2 linked regions of the Caenorhabditis elegans genome follow. The protein of the gene in region 1 purifies or fractionates together with the protein of each later gene. This does not show direct contact. Each region holds a gene or a part of one and is shown on either strand. Other genes may lie near its edges.

Evidence for each region.
Region 2: the proteins of nep-6 (region 1) and F53C3.8 fractionate together in Caenorhabditis elegans (co-fractionation; one large-scale study listed by BioGRID). This does not show direct contact.

What each region holds. Positions count from the first base shown.
Region 1 is NC_003280.10:3,413,505-3,422,012, forward strand, and holds nep-6 (NEPrilysin metallopeptidase family), read left to right. Parts: upstream 1-3,323; 5' UTR 3,324-3,333; coding exon 3,334-3,624; intron 3,625-3,686; coding exon 3,687-3,819; intron 3,820-3,865; coding exon 3,866-3,957; intron 3,958-4,631; coding exon 4,632-4,746; intron 4,747-4,792; coding exon 4,793-4,926; intron 4,927-4,972; coding exon 4,973-5,074; intron 5,075-5,124; coding exon 5,125-5,310; intron 5,311-5,365; coding exon 5,366-5,494; intron 5,495-5,661; coding exon 5,662-5,916; intron 5,917-5,959; coding exon 5,960-6,119; intron 6,120-6,286; coding exon 6,287-6,537; intron 6,538-6,771; coding exon 6,772-6,930; intron 6,931-6,978; coding exon 6,979-7,152; 3' UTR 7,153-7,168; downstream 7,169-8,508. Other genes in the region: F18A12.7 (FBA_2 domain-containing protein), read right to left, coding at 278-379, 428-817, 864-965; F18A12.2 (uncharacterized protein), read left to right, coding at 2,191-2,447, 2,490-2,721; nep-11 (Neprilysin-11), read right to left, coding at 7,498-7,674, 7,779-7,943, 8,164-8,414, 8,461-8,508.
Region 2 is NC_003280.10:3,888,658-3,895,384, reverse strand, and holds F53C3.8 (Protein BRANCHLESS TRICHOME), read right to left. Parts: upstream 3,962-6,727; coding exon 3,943-3,961; intron 3,869-3,942; coding exon 3,800-3,868; intron 3,749-3,799; coding exon 3,674-3,748; intron 3,590-3,673; coding exon 3,557-3,589; intron 3,424-3,556; coding exon 3,364-3,423; intron 3,288-3,363; coding exon 3,237-3,287; intron 3,181-3,236; coding exon 2,861-3,180; intron 2,452-2,860; coding exon 2,377-2,451; intron 1,988-2,376; coding exon 1,931-1,987; intron 1,880-1,930; coding exon 1,811-1,879; downstream 1-1,810. Other genes in the region: F53C3.7 (uncharacterized protein), read right to left, coding at 1-12, 62-154, 208-304.

The DNA.
Region 1 (8,508 bases):
ATGCAATTTTAAATATTTTTAAAATTAGTAAAGCTGCTCCCATATTTCTGGAACCGCCAAAAAAATGTCGAAAGATTTTTATAAACTGTTACAATTGGTACTTTCATTTTTCGTAAGCTTTGAATAATCTTATTTGAATCGTGTTAAAACAAATACTTCTGAAGTGATCTTTCAATCACAGCTCAAAATTCCTGTTTTTCTAAAGCCGCAATAAATTAAAAAGTCTCAACTAACAAAAATTCTCATTGGAATATTTCATTCAGTTTGTTGGACATACCATGAAAATCTCATTATATGGACCCCGAGCTTCCACTTGATTTGGATGGTACACACTCTCACTAGTGTTCCCTTGGCATGGCTGACCGTGAGGCAAACTGGTCTAAATTATAGTGTTTATGAATGTAAAAAAAAAGTTAAAAACGCTTACCCCCTGAGAAATTTGCAAAAATTGACTCAACTGACTCTTAGGACTGAGGGAACGAAAGAATTCTGAAATTGCAGACTGATGCTCTTCTTGCTCAATGGCTTTTCTCTCGAGATAGTCTCTTGTGACTTTGATGATTTCATCAGGTGATACAACTATGAATGGCTTCAATGGTCCTTCCAATAGCTCGGCCAATTTGAAAATGAAAGTTTCATTGGATAAGGATTCGTTCGCCGGCTCCAATTTAGACTGCTCCAAGTGCTGAACCTCCATTGCATCTCTTCTCATCTTGACGTCATTTTCTGAAGTATCCGTGGTTGTTGCAGTTGTAGAAATTGCTTTTCTCGATCGAGTCAAGCAGCGTCTGTTGAGCGGTCTCTGAACACGAGGGATCTGAAAAATGGAACTTAAAAAAAGGATTTGGCGATAGTAGACTTACCGGTGCTCCACGCTGATCGTGGCCGTCCATATTATTCGCGTTTTCGAGTTGCACTATAGGAATCTGGCCAACTTTTTCGGTTGACAATTGATTCGGAATCATAATCAAGCCAGCAGAAAAGAGGGAATGACCATGCACGGTCTGTCCATCACCCTCCCTCTATATTTATTCATTCTGCGTCTCTTATCCCTCTCCTTGTTGGTCAAAATGGTCCCCTGGGAAATTATCGATCTGTTCGCTCGATTTTTTTGGCTGCACAAGGTCTCACGGGAATCCAGGTTGGCAGGATCTCAGACAAAAAATTATAAATCTTGTAAACCATATCTTGGAGTATCCATAAGACTCAGAAAAAAGAGTGCCTTCGCCGGCCTCAGCGGTCGCCGCGCCGGCCTCACGGCGTCACTTACGCCTTTCATTGATAAACTCGTAAACTTTTTTTCTTAATTTCTTAATTTTTTTCTAAAATTTAAACAAATTATTAGAAATGAAAATTTTAAATTCACGTCAACAGTATTGAAAGCGGCGAACGGCGAAGGCGAAGGCCGGCGTGGGGCCCGCATTTCGCGCCTCACTCAGCTGGGAACCCTACTTCTATCCATCATAAGGATCCCAGGAAGCTGTGTACTCCAAATTCAAAATGGTGAGAATCACGAGTCCAAGTGCCGTCAGAATGATGCCAAGGATAAAGCTCATTATCATCATTGGTGTCAGCATTTTGTCTTTTTTTCTTCTATTTTTTGATATTAAGAATTGTGAAAAATTCGATTTCAAATCGATTAAAATAACATTGAAATCACACAAAAATAGAATTTGTTTTGAAAAGTTCAAAAACACGTACAACATCGACAGGGTAAAATTTTCCTGAAATTTAAATATATTTACAATTAATTTATTACGTTTCTTAATAGTGAAAAAAACAGCCTACGTACCTATTTCAGGAATGCCTCGCCTACGTGCCTATTTCAGGAATTCCTTGCCTACGTGGCTATTTCAGGCTTGCCTCGCCTACGTGCCTATTTCAGGCATGCCTCGCCTACGTGCTTATTTCAGGCATGCCTCGCCTACGTGCTTATTTCAGGCATGCCTCGCCTACGTGCATTCCTCAGTTAGATTGCAATAAGTTTTTTTATGAAAAAAAATTACGTAAGTTACGAATAAACTTTTAAAAAATAAATATTAAATTCATAATCCACGCTGCCACTTCCAACTCGAAAAAAATTATTTTTCAATTTTCCAATTATTTTTTGTTGTTAACATCGATTTTAAGTAAGTTTCTATCACTTTTTTTCGCATTGGTAACTTGAAATAATTACAGAAAAGTGCTAAAATGTCTCAGCCTAGTGTAATAATTCCTCAGCAAAATGCGATCATTCCTCAAGGAAGTCCAGAAGCGTCTCAGCAAAGGGAACCAACCCCTCCGAAACCTGAAGAGCCGCCGAACGAGCCGACATGGTTAGACAAGACAATATATCATCCATGGACGCCATACATCACAATAATTGTGACCCTTGCGCTTCCCATAATCTTTGTTTTGGGCTCCTCGTTGTACTTGAGAAGCGAAGAAACAGAAATCAAAGTTCCAAGGTAAGAGGTTCTGCTGGACACCTTTTCAAGTAAAATTTTCAGTAACTTGTCTGTGAATCCGATATTTTCAACAAATGCGACAACGTCATCACAAACTACGAAGCCAAAATTGATTTATAACGAGATGAAGAAGCCCCGGACAACTTTGAAACCATCAACTGCTCCGCCAGAATCCTCAAAGGCCCCAGCATCTACTGGAACCACTTTGGCGACGAATCCTACGATTACTGGTCCACCTGGAACTGGAAAACGAAATAATTCTCGATTTTTCTAATAACTTGTGTTCAATAAATGCTTCTAAAAATTACTGAAAGTTATTAAGGGGGAGAAATACAGAACTAATTTATTACAGTTGACAATTTTTAATCAAACAAACGACAACTGAGATATAAGCTGGAAAAGTTAAGTAAAGAGAATATACGGTAAAACTGTCCTTCGCTAAAAATCAATAACTGGAAAGATTTTTCCAACTAACCTGCTTTTTAAAATGAGCAGCGACTCTGTGAATTTCCAAATTTTTTTGTGAAGAGGTACGAGTAATAAACAAAAATGTCACTCTAGTCGGAGCAACGATTTAATTCGATTCAGTCCACGAGAATTATTTTTAATGCTTATTGTATATTCGTAGTTTTTCACTATTCGAAATTTTAAACTCTGAAAAAAATTTGAATATAAAATAAATTTTCAAACGTGTTCTAAATTCTAAATTCACTTTTCATTCAAGTTGTTTTTCCGTGAATCGATATCAAAAATGAATCATTTCTCAACTTTTACTTTCTTATCTCTCGTTTTCTTTTGAAGATCAGTGCAGGTAATTTCTCAGTTTTTTTAAATTGATTTTTGAATCGATTTTTAAATCAATTTTTCCAGAAAAAAAAATCCCAAAATGTCTGCGAAAGATAAGCTGGCCAATCCTCTGATTGCTCTAGTCGTGTTCCTGGTTCTCACAATTATTGCACTCCTCGCCACTATTATTATCATGAAGCTCAATGAAAAGCCAGTGGAGCCGCCAAGAGTTGCTCCGATTGCTCAGAAGTTGGTAGCTCCCGAGAAGAAGTCAAGGCCTGAGCCGGTGACAAATCCGGTGACGATGACAAGGCCTGAGCCGGTGACTCAGGCTTCGAAGCCAAGGAATGTCTGCGAAACTCCAGGATGTGTAACTTTGGCTGATCAGCTTGTAAGCTTTGATAGCAAAAAAATAGTTTACACATTTTTTTAAATTATGAAATTTTCTTCCAGCTCAACTTCCAAGACCCCTCCGTAGACCCATGTCAGGATTTCTACAAAGCCGCTTGCGGGAAGTATTCGGAGCACGAGGTGGCAAATCGAAGACTGCAGAAGAAGGATATCATCATTCAGAGAATGATTAAAAGTTGGAAAATTCTTGGAAATGCTTGAAAAAAAACGAACAATTTCAGATTTCCTGCTGAAAAATGAGACTTCTGAGTCGAAATCTGAAAATGTGATGAGGCAGGTGTATCGGACTTGTGAGGGGTTGAAAAACGAAGAAGTGAGTTTGAAAAAGCTTGGCTTGAAGGCTTATAGGCTTATAGGCCTTTAGTCTTATTGGCTTGTAGGCTTATAGGTCCTTAGGCTTATAGGCTTCAGGGCTTATAAGCTTATCTTATTGACTTATAGGAATGTAGGCTTATTGCCTAACGATTTTTAAGATAATAGGTTTGGAAGTTTATAGGTCTTTAGGCTTATAGGCCTTTAGGCTTATAGGCTCAAAGGCTTATAAGCTTATCGGTTTATAGTTTAGTAGGCTAATTGGCCTAACGATTTTCAAGATGATTGGCTTCAAAGTTTTAATATATTAGGCTAATCGGCCTTTAGGTTTTTAGGCCTTTAGGCTTATATGGCTTTAGGCTCATAGGCTTTTACGTTTATAGGCTATACGGTTTATAGGCTCATATGTAGGCCATAATAAGCCCATAGACCGTATAGGCTTGTTAATTAATAGGCTCATAGGCGTGTAATCTACTAGGCTTATCGGCTTGCTTGTAAGATATCAGACCTATAAGCGTTTAAGCTTTTTTTTTTGGCTTTCAATCCTTTTAGATGTTATGTATGTGTTTAGACCAATGCGCTTTCAGGCTTTTAGGTCTTCAGGCTTATAGTCTTGTAGGCTTTTAGGCTTATAGGCCTCTACATAGGTTTTCAGGCTAATAATAAAAATTTCAGATTTTCAATGCAAATATGAAAACTGCCTTCAGAGAATTATTCAAGGATATTCAAAAAATTGGATCATGGCCAGCGGCAGACAAAAATTGGGATGAGACTAAACTCAACTTGAATGGTACTTATTTTAAGCTTTAAATTTGCTGAAAATTCATTTTTTCCAGAAATGTTGCTCAACATCGTCAAGCTTGGTAGCAGTAATTTCGGGCTTTTTCAAATCCGTCCAACTGAAGTCCCATTTTTGGAAGTTGCTCCGGATATGGCCCGGAGCCCAAAGGTTTCTGCGAATTTTCAGCAGGTTTTTGGGAGAAATTCTGAAATTTTTGGCATGATACCTTTTTCAGATAATTTTTGATATTTTGGAGAAGAATGGGCTTCAACCGGATGAAAATGTAATTGCCGATGATGTTGAAGACTATATTACGTTGGAGGAGACTTTGAGCCAAGTTTGTAGAAAATTCTGCTAAATAGGTCACTTAAAAATATTCACTTTCAGTACGCCTATGACTATAACGCCGAAAAAGTCCAATTTTCCAAGCTTCAAGCCCAAGTTCCTAGTCTGAAATTGGAGAAGATTATCGAAGAAATGATGAATCCGAACCGGAAAAAGCTGCTAGTTACGAAGGTTAAGCCGAGAATGGTAGCTCACAAGCATTCGCTGTTTTTTGATGAGAAGATGAATGTGGGTTTTTTTTTGGCATTCAGCAGAATATGAGCCTTTTGAAAAAAAATTTCAGCTCGAAAAGCTGCTGAAATCCACACCGAAGCGAACACTGGCCAACTATTTGATTTTTTATTATATGGACCACGCAATGAATGGTCTCTCGGTTCACGACAACGTGATTAAGAAACGAAATTGTGAAAAGGTTTGAACTACGCGGGCACGATCAACCAATCAGCGACGGTGGCCACGCCCCTTGTGGATTGGTTGGTCAGCGATTGATTGGTCAGCGACCACATTGAGGCTCGGAATTTGAATTATGCGTTACAACCGTACTCCTACCGTAATCAATACCCGTAATTTGTTTTCCAGCTTGTAATAGAATACCTCCCAAAAGCATCACTCCGTGTTTTTGTCCGAAATCATTTCGAAAAAGGAAATCTGAAAATCGTTGACGAAATGGCTGAAGAAACTAAGAAATCCTTCATAGAAATGCTCCAAGAATCCACGTGGCTCGGAGCTGACTCCAAGAAAAATGCGATTTTGAAGCTGGAGAAAATGGGCAAAATGATTGGTTATCCGAAGGAATTCGAGAAAAAAGGAGCACTGGATAAGATGTTCGAAACGGTGAGCATGCTTAAATTTTTTTCAAATTGGGATAATTTTGCAGCTCAAACTTCTCCCCAAAGACACCCTTTACGGGATTCTCAAGAAGATCGGAAGATTCCATATGGAGCAAGGCATCGAGTTTGTGGCTCTAGAGACACCGATGGATCCGGTGCTGCCGGTTCTCATGACGAACGCGTTTTATACTGATCGAAATCATTTGTGTGAGTTTTAACCAGCAGTCGACATTTCATGGGTCCAATAGTTCAGACCTCCGAGATGGTGTCGGCTGCAATGATTGTAAACTGTCAAGAGCAGCCGACAATTCACGGGTTGCAATTTACACAACCCATTATATGTCGGCTGCTTAAAAACCGCTTCCACCTTTCAGCTTTCCTTGTCGGGTACATGGATGATCCGCTTTTCGACGCCACCTACCCAAAATACGTAAATATTGCTCTAACCGGAAACATTTTGGCTCACGAAACTAGTCATGGATTCGATACAGCAGGTATAAAGAGGGACGAAAACGGAGAAGTCAGAAGTTGGATGAAGCCGGAGGATTTGAAGGAGTATGGGAAGAAAACTCAGTGCCTGGTAGATCAATACAATGAGTATGATGATCCGGTTTTTGGCAAAAATGTGAGTTTGAGGTAGTCACGTAAACACGTCTAGGAACGTAGGCACGTAGGCACGCAGGTACATAAGAATCTAGGCGGATACCTAGGCACCTTAACATCCTGGAACCTAGGCATCTAAACATCCAGGACACCCAGGCACGTAAGCACGTAGGCACGTAGGCACGTAGGCACGTAGGCACGTAGGCACGTAGGCATGTAGGCACGTAGGCACGTAGGCACGAAAGAAAATTGTCAGCTCAACGGAACTACAACTCTCAACGAGATGGTGGCCGACATGATTGGAGTTACAGTTGCTTGGAAGGTCTTTGAAAAACTCGATTCATCAAAAGAGCAAAAAGTCATTGGATTTGAAAATGAAAATATTGATAAGCTCTATTTCAGAGCGGCTGCTTTGGTAAATCTTTTAAAAAATTGAATTTTTAAATGACTTCCTAAATTCCAGGATTTCTGCTCGTTGCCCCCAACAACAAGCCTGGTAGAAGAGCTCACCAGAGTACACCCGACTGGAAATTTCCGTGTCAATGGGATCTTTTCCAATATGCCACAATTTGCGACAGCATTCAACTGCCCAGAAGGATCACCTATGAATCCCAAAACGAGGTGCTCGATTTTTTGAATAAAGAATAATTTTTTATTGACATAAAATTTAAATATAAATGTTCTTTTTAAACTTGAGTGATTAATTTTTTTCAAATTCAATATTTTGTAGGTCAAAACGAGACGAGAAGAGTTTTCAAGGGAAGAGTCACACGGTAGAATTATAAAATCGGAAATATGTACATTTTCACGGGAGAGACCCGTAAGGCAGCTTTGGGAACTAATGAGAGAGGCACAAATATGCCTGCCTGCAAGCCTGCCTAGTCAGGCAACCTAGTTAGGCAGGCAGGCAGCATTTTTGTGCCTATGTAGGAAGAATCAAAGAGAGCTTGAGATAAGGAGCACAGACAAAAAAAGGAACAGATTACCAAACAATACATTTATGATCTGGGTTAACTGGAGCATTACGGGGACACTTGTAGACGTCAGCAAAAGCTTGCATATTCGACAGGACACCAATTACTCGGAACACCTCTGGAGAATGCTCATCGGTGAGCACTTGTTGCATCGCTGCGGCTTCTTTCTTCTTGCCACACCAGAACTGGAAAAATTTTGATTTTTTCGCTAATCTGAGGGATTTTTAGTGAACGATTGGTTCATTTTTGCCAATTTTACTACAAATTTCAAAACAGGCAAACAACTCACATGTGCATAGCTGACAAAGAAGATCTGCTCATTCGTGTACTGCTGGAGACCGGGTAACCTAGGCTCTTCTCCATTTTCGGTCACATATTTCTGATAGGCTTGGAACGCTTCTTTGACTCCACCGTTGTCGGCAATGTTCTCTCCTTGGGTCAGTTTTCCGTTCACCTGGAAATACGGGGTTATCTCAAAAACGGTATGAGATAGAAAATAAGTTTCAACTAGAAAAATGTTCAGAAGAAAATTTCACACAATTTGTTAGTTGAAACCATTTTTATATCTCTAGTCAGAGCGTCTAGCCGTCTGCGTCTCTTCTCTGCGTCCGACGCCTCGCGGGTCTCTCTTAGTTGTGAATCAATATCCTCCCACGCCTTTTTCCCGTGCTTACCCTAAAGTTAGTCTTGGGCACTGTATAGTTCCCGTACTGCTCGACAATACACCTCCTCCTTGTGTCAAACGAATTCAACGAGCTCTCACTCCACCAATTGTGCAAATTTCCGTCCTTATCATACTGTGATCCTTGATCATCGAATCCATGAGTAATCTCGTGCCCAATCACTGCTCCAATTGCTCCGTAATTCACTGCCTTGGGAAATGTGCCGGAGAAGAACGGAGGTTGCAGAATGCCCGCTGGGAATGCTGGAATTTCAATTTTGGTATAGATCTTGAGGTAGGTGGAACTTACTGATTGCATTCTTTTCGGGGGAGTAGAACGCGTTTACTACAGCCGGTG
Region 2 (6,727 bases), 470 kb from region 1:
TATTTTCGGAATCTGTATGGATATATCTATATACTTCAAGTTTCAGACGTAAATTTCATACCTGCTATGCTGGGAGCTGGATAGTATGCTTCCCACTGTTGAGCTAATGGATTTTGGTTGGCCTCGGAGCCCGGAACGAGGAAATGCCAGACGTCTGGAAGAATAAGATATCGTGATGAGATAAAAACTTGGTGACAAAAAACGTACTTGGAATGTGTTGAACTCTTTGATGAGCTCGCAGGGTTGAGTCAAAATTACTTCCATCGCGATAGCCGGCTCTTCCGTACCCATACACGTGGCTCATTTTAGATTTTTGAAGCTTTCTGAAACAAAATTGGAGTTTGAAAATTTACAACAAAAGACACACTTTCAATCTCAATGTTAAAAATATCACAAGACAGAATATATAATTTTTGGCAAAAATGTGAATTTTTATGGGTGGGAAAAATGGTTGCCTCCTCTCCCATCCCAATAAAACGTAAATGTTAATAGTGAAAGAGAGGTCGACAGGCGATGGTATGCCCCCCAGGAAGGGTGGGGTCATAATGTGCAAAATGATGATACATACTCTGAGAAAAATATGCCTAGAAAATGAGAGAAGTAGAGAACATCTGAAAAAAATACACGGTTTTTCTTTAGTTGATGAAAAGGCGATCAAATTTTGAAGTCTTAAAAAATTAAATTGTAAGAATATTTTTTGGGACTGCCTAGCAATTGTCTGAACGTCGCTGAAATTGCCAGAAAAACCATCTGCGAAAAATTTCTGTAAAATCCTAAAAATTATATTTGCCTCTTAAAAACAAGAATTTTATTAAAAAATAGAAAAGTTGAGGAATATGGAAGGTATGTGATAATTGATTGAAATAAACTGAACAGAAAATTTCAAAACAATCGCTGAGATACTGAGAATCATGGAAAAATAAAAAAAAGATTATTGAAAGTGAAGTTTTCCTGGAGATAATGAGCATGGATTGAGTCAGTAGGGAGCCGGAGAAAAAACGGGAGAAGAATCTTTTGGTCGGAGGCTTCACTCTGAAATTTGTTTCGATTGGAATCTGTGTCCTTTTGTGTTAAAAGGATTTTGTCTTTTCAAAACACGGTATTGCCTGAAATCAGCTTGTCGCTGGTGATGTGGTGAATTTCACATTTTCAAGCGAATTTTTTTGATCTTTCTGGTTGGTTCAACGTTCTTTTTGTTGATCCAGGTTAATTCTTTTTAGGGAATAGACCCTCTGCCTGACCTGCCCAAATTGCCTAGTTACAAGTCTAACTGTCTAGTTACAAGTATCCCTACAATCCTAAAAATTTCCATAGATCAAAGAATCAGCTAACATAAACTTTCAAAGTTGCCGGTGACCTCAAAGCTCCCTCACACCAAAAGTATGAACGAACACCATGTAATATGATACACCTATTTGTTGCAAAATATACGGATGAGCAGACATCTATCCAAACTGTGAACACCGTGAAAAGTAGCAACAGAGCTGTGTTGCGCAATAGGTCAATTTGGCCGATTGCCAAGTAACCCCCGAGGGCTACTGTAGCAGCCTCCTGCCTGATTACCGGCGTGTATGTTTTTGTTTGAAACCCCCTATCTTTTGCACTGGTTTTTTTTGTTGTTAGAAGTTAAGACCTTGAGAAAATGGGAAGTTGAATCCAAATTTTCAGTTCTGAACGCCAGCGATACTAGATAAGTTATATATTTTTTAAATTTTTTTCAATATTACTTTCAAAACCACATTAAAGCTTTTCCTTGAAATTAGCATCTCGGTTAATTTTTAAAAACTAAGTAAATTCAAAACCACCTTATCTACTTGTTACATTTTTTCGGAATTGTTTTGGTCCGCTTGCACAATTCCACAGTCTTTTTAATCGGCGCCTGAAATAATATTATATTTAAAGGGAGATTTCCTGATTAATTTTCACTTACGGTACTTGTGCATCCCCGCTTTCCACGGCGGCACGCAACATTTGAAGGACCTGGGACCTGAAAAAAGTATATTCAGATTTTTGAAAAATTTGATTTTAATATTGAGTTCAAAAGGGACGTTGTCAAAAAAAAGGCTCCCATTGTGGTAAAATGTTCCAATATCAAAAGTAAAACTTTTCAAAAAAATGTTGAAATTTTCAATTAGCAGTCAAAAAGAAGTAACTGTCATAATTTTGGAATTTGATCAAAAAAAAATTTTTTTTAACGTTGTTTATATATTTTAAAATCTGCAAAAATTCTCGAAATTACTCAAAAGTCCACATTTTTTGAAAATTTTTGGCAATTGACCAAACTGTGGCTGGAAATATAAAAACCTTAATTTTAAAATCTGGGGATTTTTGATTATTTTTGAAGTATTTAGGCTAAATCCTTCTAGCAAAAATTACCTGATCGGCCGGCGCTTGTTGCGATCTTCTCGCAGGCACGTTGGCAGGAACGCTGACCCCCGAAGTGCCTGAGTTCTGAAAAAATAAATTCAATTTTTGAAATGTTGGATTTAAGTGTTCTTTTCAGAAGTAGCGTTCTCTAAAAAGCTACCATTGTGATAAAGCATCCAAATACTATAGTAAAACCAAAAAAATTGATCAAAAATTGATAATTTCAAATTGCAGTCAAAAGGCAAAAAAAGTCAGATATAACTTATAATTATTTTGGCAGTTTGTTAATAAAAATATCTACAATTTCTATTTTTTATCAAACATTCTAAACGTTCAAACCTCCAACAGTACTCAAAGAATCCATATATTTTTAAAAATTTTGGCAATTAGCCGAATCTTTTGCTGGGAATTTTAAACAATCTAATTAACTTAATTATGATATTTGGTAATTTTAATCAGTGTATTTGGACTAAATCCCCTAAGCAAGACTTACCTGCTCAACCTCCGGCTTCTCCTGAATATCGGATCTTCTTGCAGGCGCAGTTCTCAGCTCTTCCAGCTCACTTTCCCTGGCTTTCTTCAGAAGCTCCGATTTCTCTTTCTCGAAGTTCAACTCCTCTCTTTTTCTTTCCAGTAGAAGTTCCGATTTTTCCTTCTCAAAGTTCAACTCCTCCCTTTCTCTTTGCAATCGAATCGTCAATTGTTCTTTCCTGACCCGCTCCACTTCAATTTTCAGCTCCAAATTGTTGAGATGGTCCACTTCGAGATTTCTTTGAGCCGCTTGGGTTAGGAGATTTCTTGCCTGAGCACTATCTAAAAATTGAATAACGATGAAAGCTTAAAATTTATCTAGAAAATTGAAAAAATACCGTTCTGCCAAGAGGGTCTGCGCCGAACTCCGACAGGCTGTGGTGGAGCAGCTGAATTATTTTTTTAAATTATATTACATAGAAGTGAACAACTAAGTGTTTTCAATTTTTTAAAGTAAACATGTACAGTTCCTCTCGACGATCTCCACCGAATTTTCTCGAAGTTCTGGTCTGGCAGGAGCTGCACCTGAAATAAGATTTACTACATGATTTGGCCAGGTTAGTTGTTTTCTAAATTTTAAATTCGCAATTTTTTTAATGTGATGTGAAAATTTAGGACCCAAAACTTACAAACTTAACAGAATTTAAAAAAAACTTACTCGGAGCCTGTTGTAGTCCAAACGAAGATGGGACTGAAAAAAAGTTGTGAATAAAAATGTTTTTCAGCTGCTCTATTTGAGGCCACATGGTACGATACTTTAAGGCCAAAAACTCACAAAGTGTGGAAGTGTTTGATCCACTCATCGGAAAAAAGGTCATTGGAACGGCTTCTCCCATGACTGGAAAGGAAGCTGGAACTATTTGAGCATTAAAAATTCAAGTTGTCACTGAAAAAATCTTACGGAAAACAGCTCTAGCCGGTTGGTTGAACAAATTGTTTGGCTGTCTTCTTGGTGGCGACGATGGGGAATCTGAAACAGGGAACTTGAAATTACAGAAAAAAAAACTTGATGTGAAATATTTTTTAAAACAAAAAGATACTCACTGGAGCGGGAATGCTGCATTTTGGTTGGCTTGAAGAGGGTTTTATGGACACTGAAAAATTTTAATTTAAAAAATACTTGAAAACTATTTTTCATGGAATCATGAAAAAGATATTAAAAATAAAGTAGGTAAAAAATTCCAGACTGGCGCAGTTTTTTGGCAAACAGGGGAAAATGTCTAATTTTTTCTTCAGATATTTATTTAGAAATATATTTGTAATTTTTGAAAATAACTCAAATTTTAGTGGAGAATTTCGATAAGTTGTTCAAAAACTGACTCAAATATAAATTCACATAGCTATTTCGTGTCAGGTTTTGAGCAACTTTTTGGAGCTTATAATCAAATATAAAGTTATTTTCCAAAAGTACGAATATTTTTCCACGTTTCTGTAATAATTTTGAAAAACTGCCAAAAAGATGAGAGAAGTGGGCTGACGGAAAACGTGACTAACACGACAAATCATCTTTAAACTTTGACTGCTTTTATCTCGATTATCTTTTGTTTTATAGGAATATTCAAAACTGACAAATTATTTGTTGAGTGTTAAACTTCAGTTTTGTAGTTGAAAGTTTACCGATATCTTGAAAGAGAACCTAGATATGAGTAGTCAAAGTGAGAATGTTTCACAATACATACTACTAGAACCCGAGCTTCATCAATGAAGTTGTAAAACCAAAATTGAGAATCGAAAAGTCTAAAATTCAAAAAAAAGTGTTCTCCAATTGCAAATGTTATGAGAAACTAAGCATTCAAGGTTGCCTAGTTGTAAACATATTTCAAAATCCAACCGAAGAGATATATGGAGAGAGAGAGAGAGAGTTAGTGAAGGGGTGAGGGCATAGACGTATTGCCTACCGTATCACAACTTGCCAAGCACAGTTGGTAATTTGATACTTGGTAGGTTAAGGCATTCAGAGCGGGGATGAGATCTGGAGCTTGAAGCTTTTGAATGCACGGACTGTGTCCACTAATGAGGTGATACGGAAGGGACCCAAATTAATTAACTAGTAAGACATCTCACAATGAATATGAATTACTAATATTCACCGTAACAAAACTGCAAATTGAAAATTTACTAAATTTCCCTCCTTTATCACACAAAAGGTGTTATCTTTGTACTTTCAATCGCTGAGAAAGAGATATAATTCAAAAAAAAAGATTTGATGAAAAGAAGAAAAGTGCAAATATCGGCGGCGTTCAAACGATTGCCTCGTTGCATCAGACATAAAAGAGCCAAATGGACGTCATTGATAATGGGATTGAGAGGGTTAAGTGATGGCAGGGTTGCGGAAATATTTTTGAAAATGAACAAAGAGTTTTATGAGATCTGAAAAAGGTAATTTTTTATTGAGAAGAAAACTGGCTACAATAGAAAGCACAACTAGAAAATGAAATTTACACAACAAAATAAATATAAATGATCAACTAAATAAAATAATAAAATAGGAACTAAAAGGTATGGCTGAAAATTCACGTTTTCTGTAACTGCTTAAAGCTTCTGGCACCGACTGGAAAGTTGTTGGTAAATTCTGAAAGAGCTTAAAATTTGCAACAAAGTTTCTGAAAGAAATTTTGAAAAAAGTTATTTTGAAGTGATTTATAAACACAATTACTTTAGAGATAGGAGATATGCACACCGAGGAGACCCCGGAAACAGACTGGAGTATACATTCCTGAAATGAACCCAAGGTACATCCACCGGTACACTTGATTAATATTTCAACTAATATTGTTAAAGGGTCGAACATGGAAGAGCTGAACAATCCAAAGTTTTCTGAGAAGCACCAGTCATACTCACGATCTCCAAAATAAGTTTTTTAAATGGTTTTTCTCGAGTTTTTTATGTAATAAAAATAATTCAAAAAAATTGTACAGAGTATTAAAAGAACTTTAAAAAAAAGAGAGTCGGAGAAGAATGAAATATTAATTTCCGTGCCGCATCTTGTTTTTCCTCAATGACAGTCTCCAGTCCGTTGAATAGGTCTCCGCTTGCCCCGCATCTCTTCATACGCATCCGTTTTGTTGTGAATTGCTGTTCGATGCCATGTCATTCTGATCTAGTACCTAAAAATTTAAAAATTGTCCCGTGAAAAGAAATGAAAAACACTTGCCATTTGTATCATACTGTAAAAACTTACCCTGTTTGCATTTACACAACTCAGGGTAATCCCGTTTGCTTTCACAACACACTTTTCTTCATTATGTGCGTTCAGCATCTTGTATGCGTAGCTTTTTGGCGCAAATGCGACAAATTGAGCAATTTCCCAACCATCTGGCGTCTCAACAGTCATTGGAAGTACAAAATCAGGAATAGAGCAGTTGCTAAATCATAGAAAATAACAACAAAAAAATAAAGGGTAACCACCAGTCACCCAAGAGCAACCACCAGTCGCTCACATCAATGGAGGAATGACATCCTCTACTGTCAGCATACGTAACTACCCTTTGTGTCCGCCACAAAACCGCAGCCAATTGGCAATCTTGCTCAGCTCCTCTCTGTCGCCTTGCAGTTGTCTCCCCCTATTTTGCCTATGAATGGTCGCTTTCATTTAATAATAAAATACGCATTGAAAGGTATGGCTGAAATTGTACGTTTTCTGTAACTACTTGAAGCATCTGGCATCTACTGGAAAGTTGCTAGTAAATTCTGAAAGAGCTTGAAATTTGCTACAAACTTTCTGAAAGAAATTTTAAAAAAAAGTTATTTTGAAGTGATTTGGGAATTTTCAAAGTTTTGTAAATCTGCCTATTTTACATATAAATGGTCGATTTCATTTAATAATAAA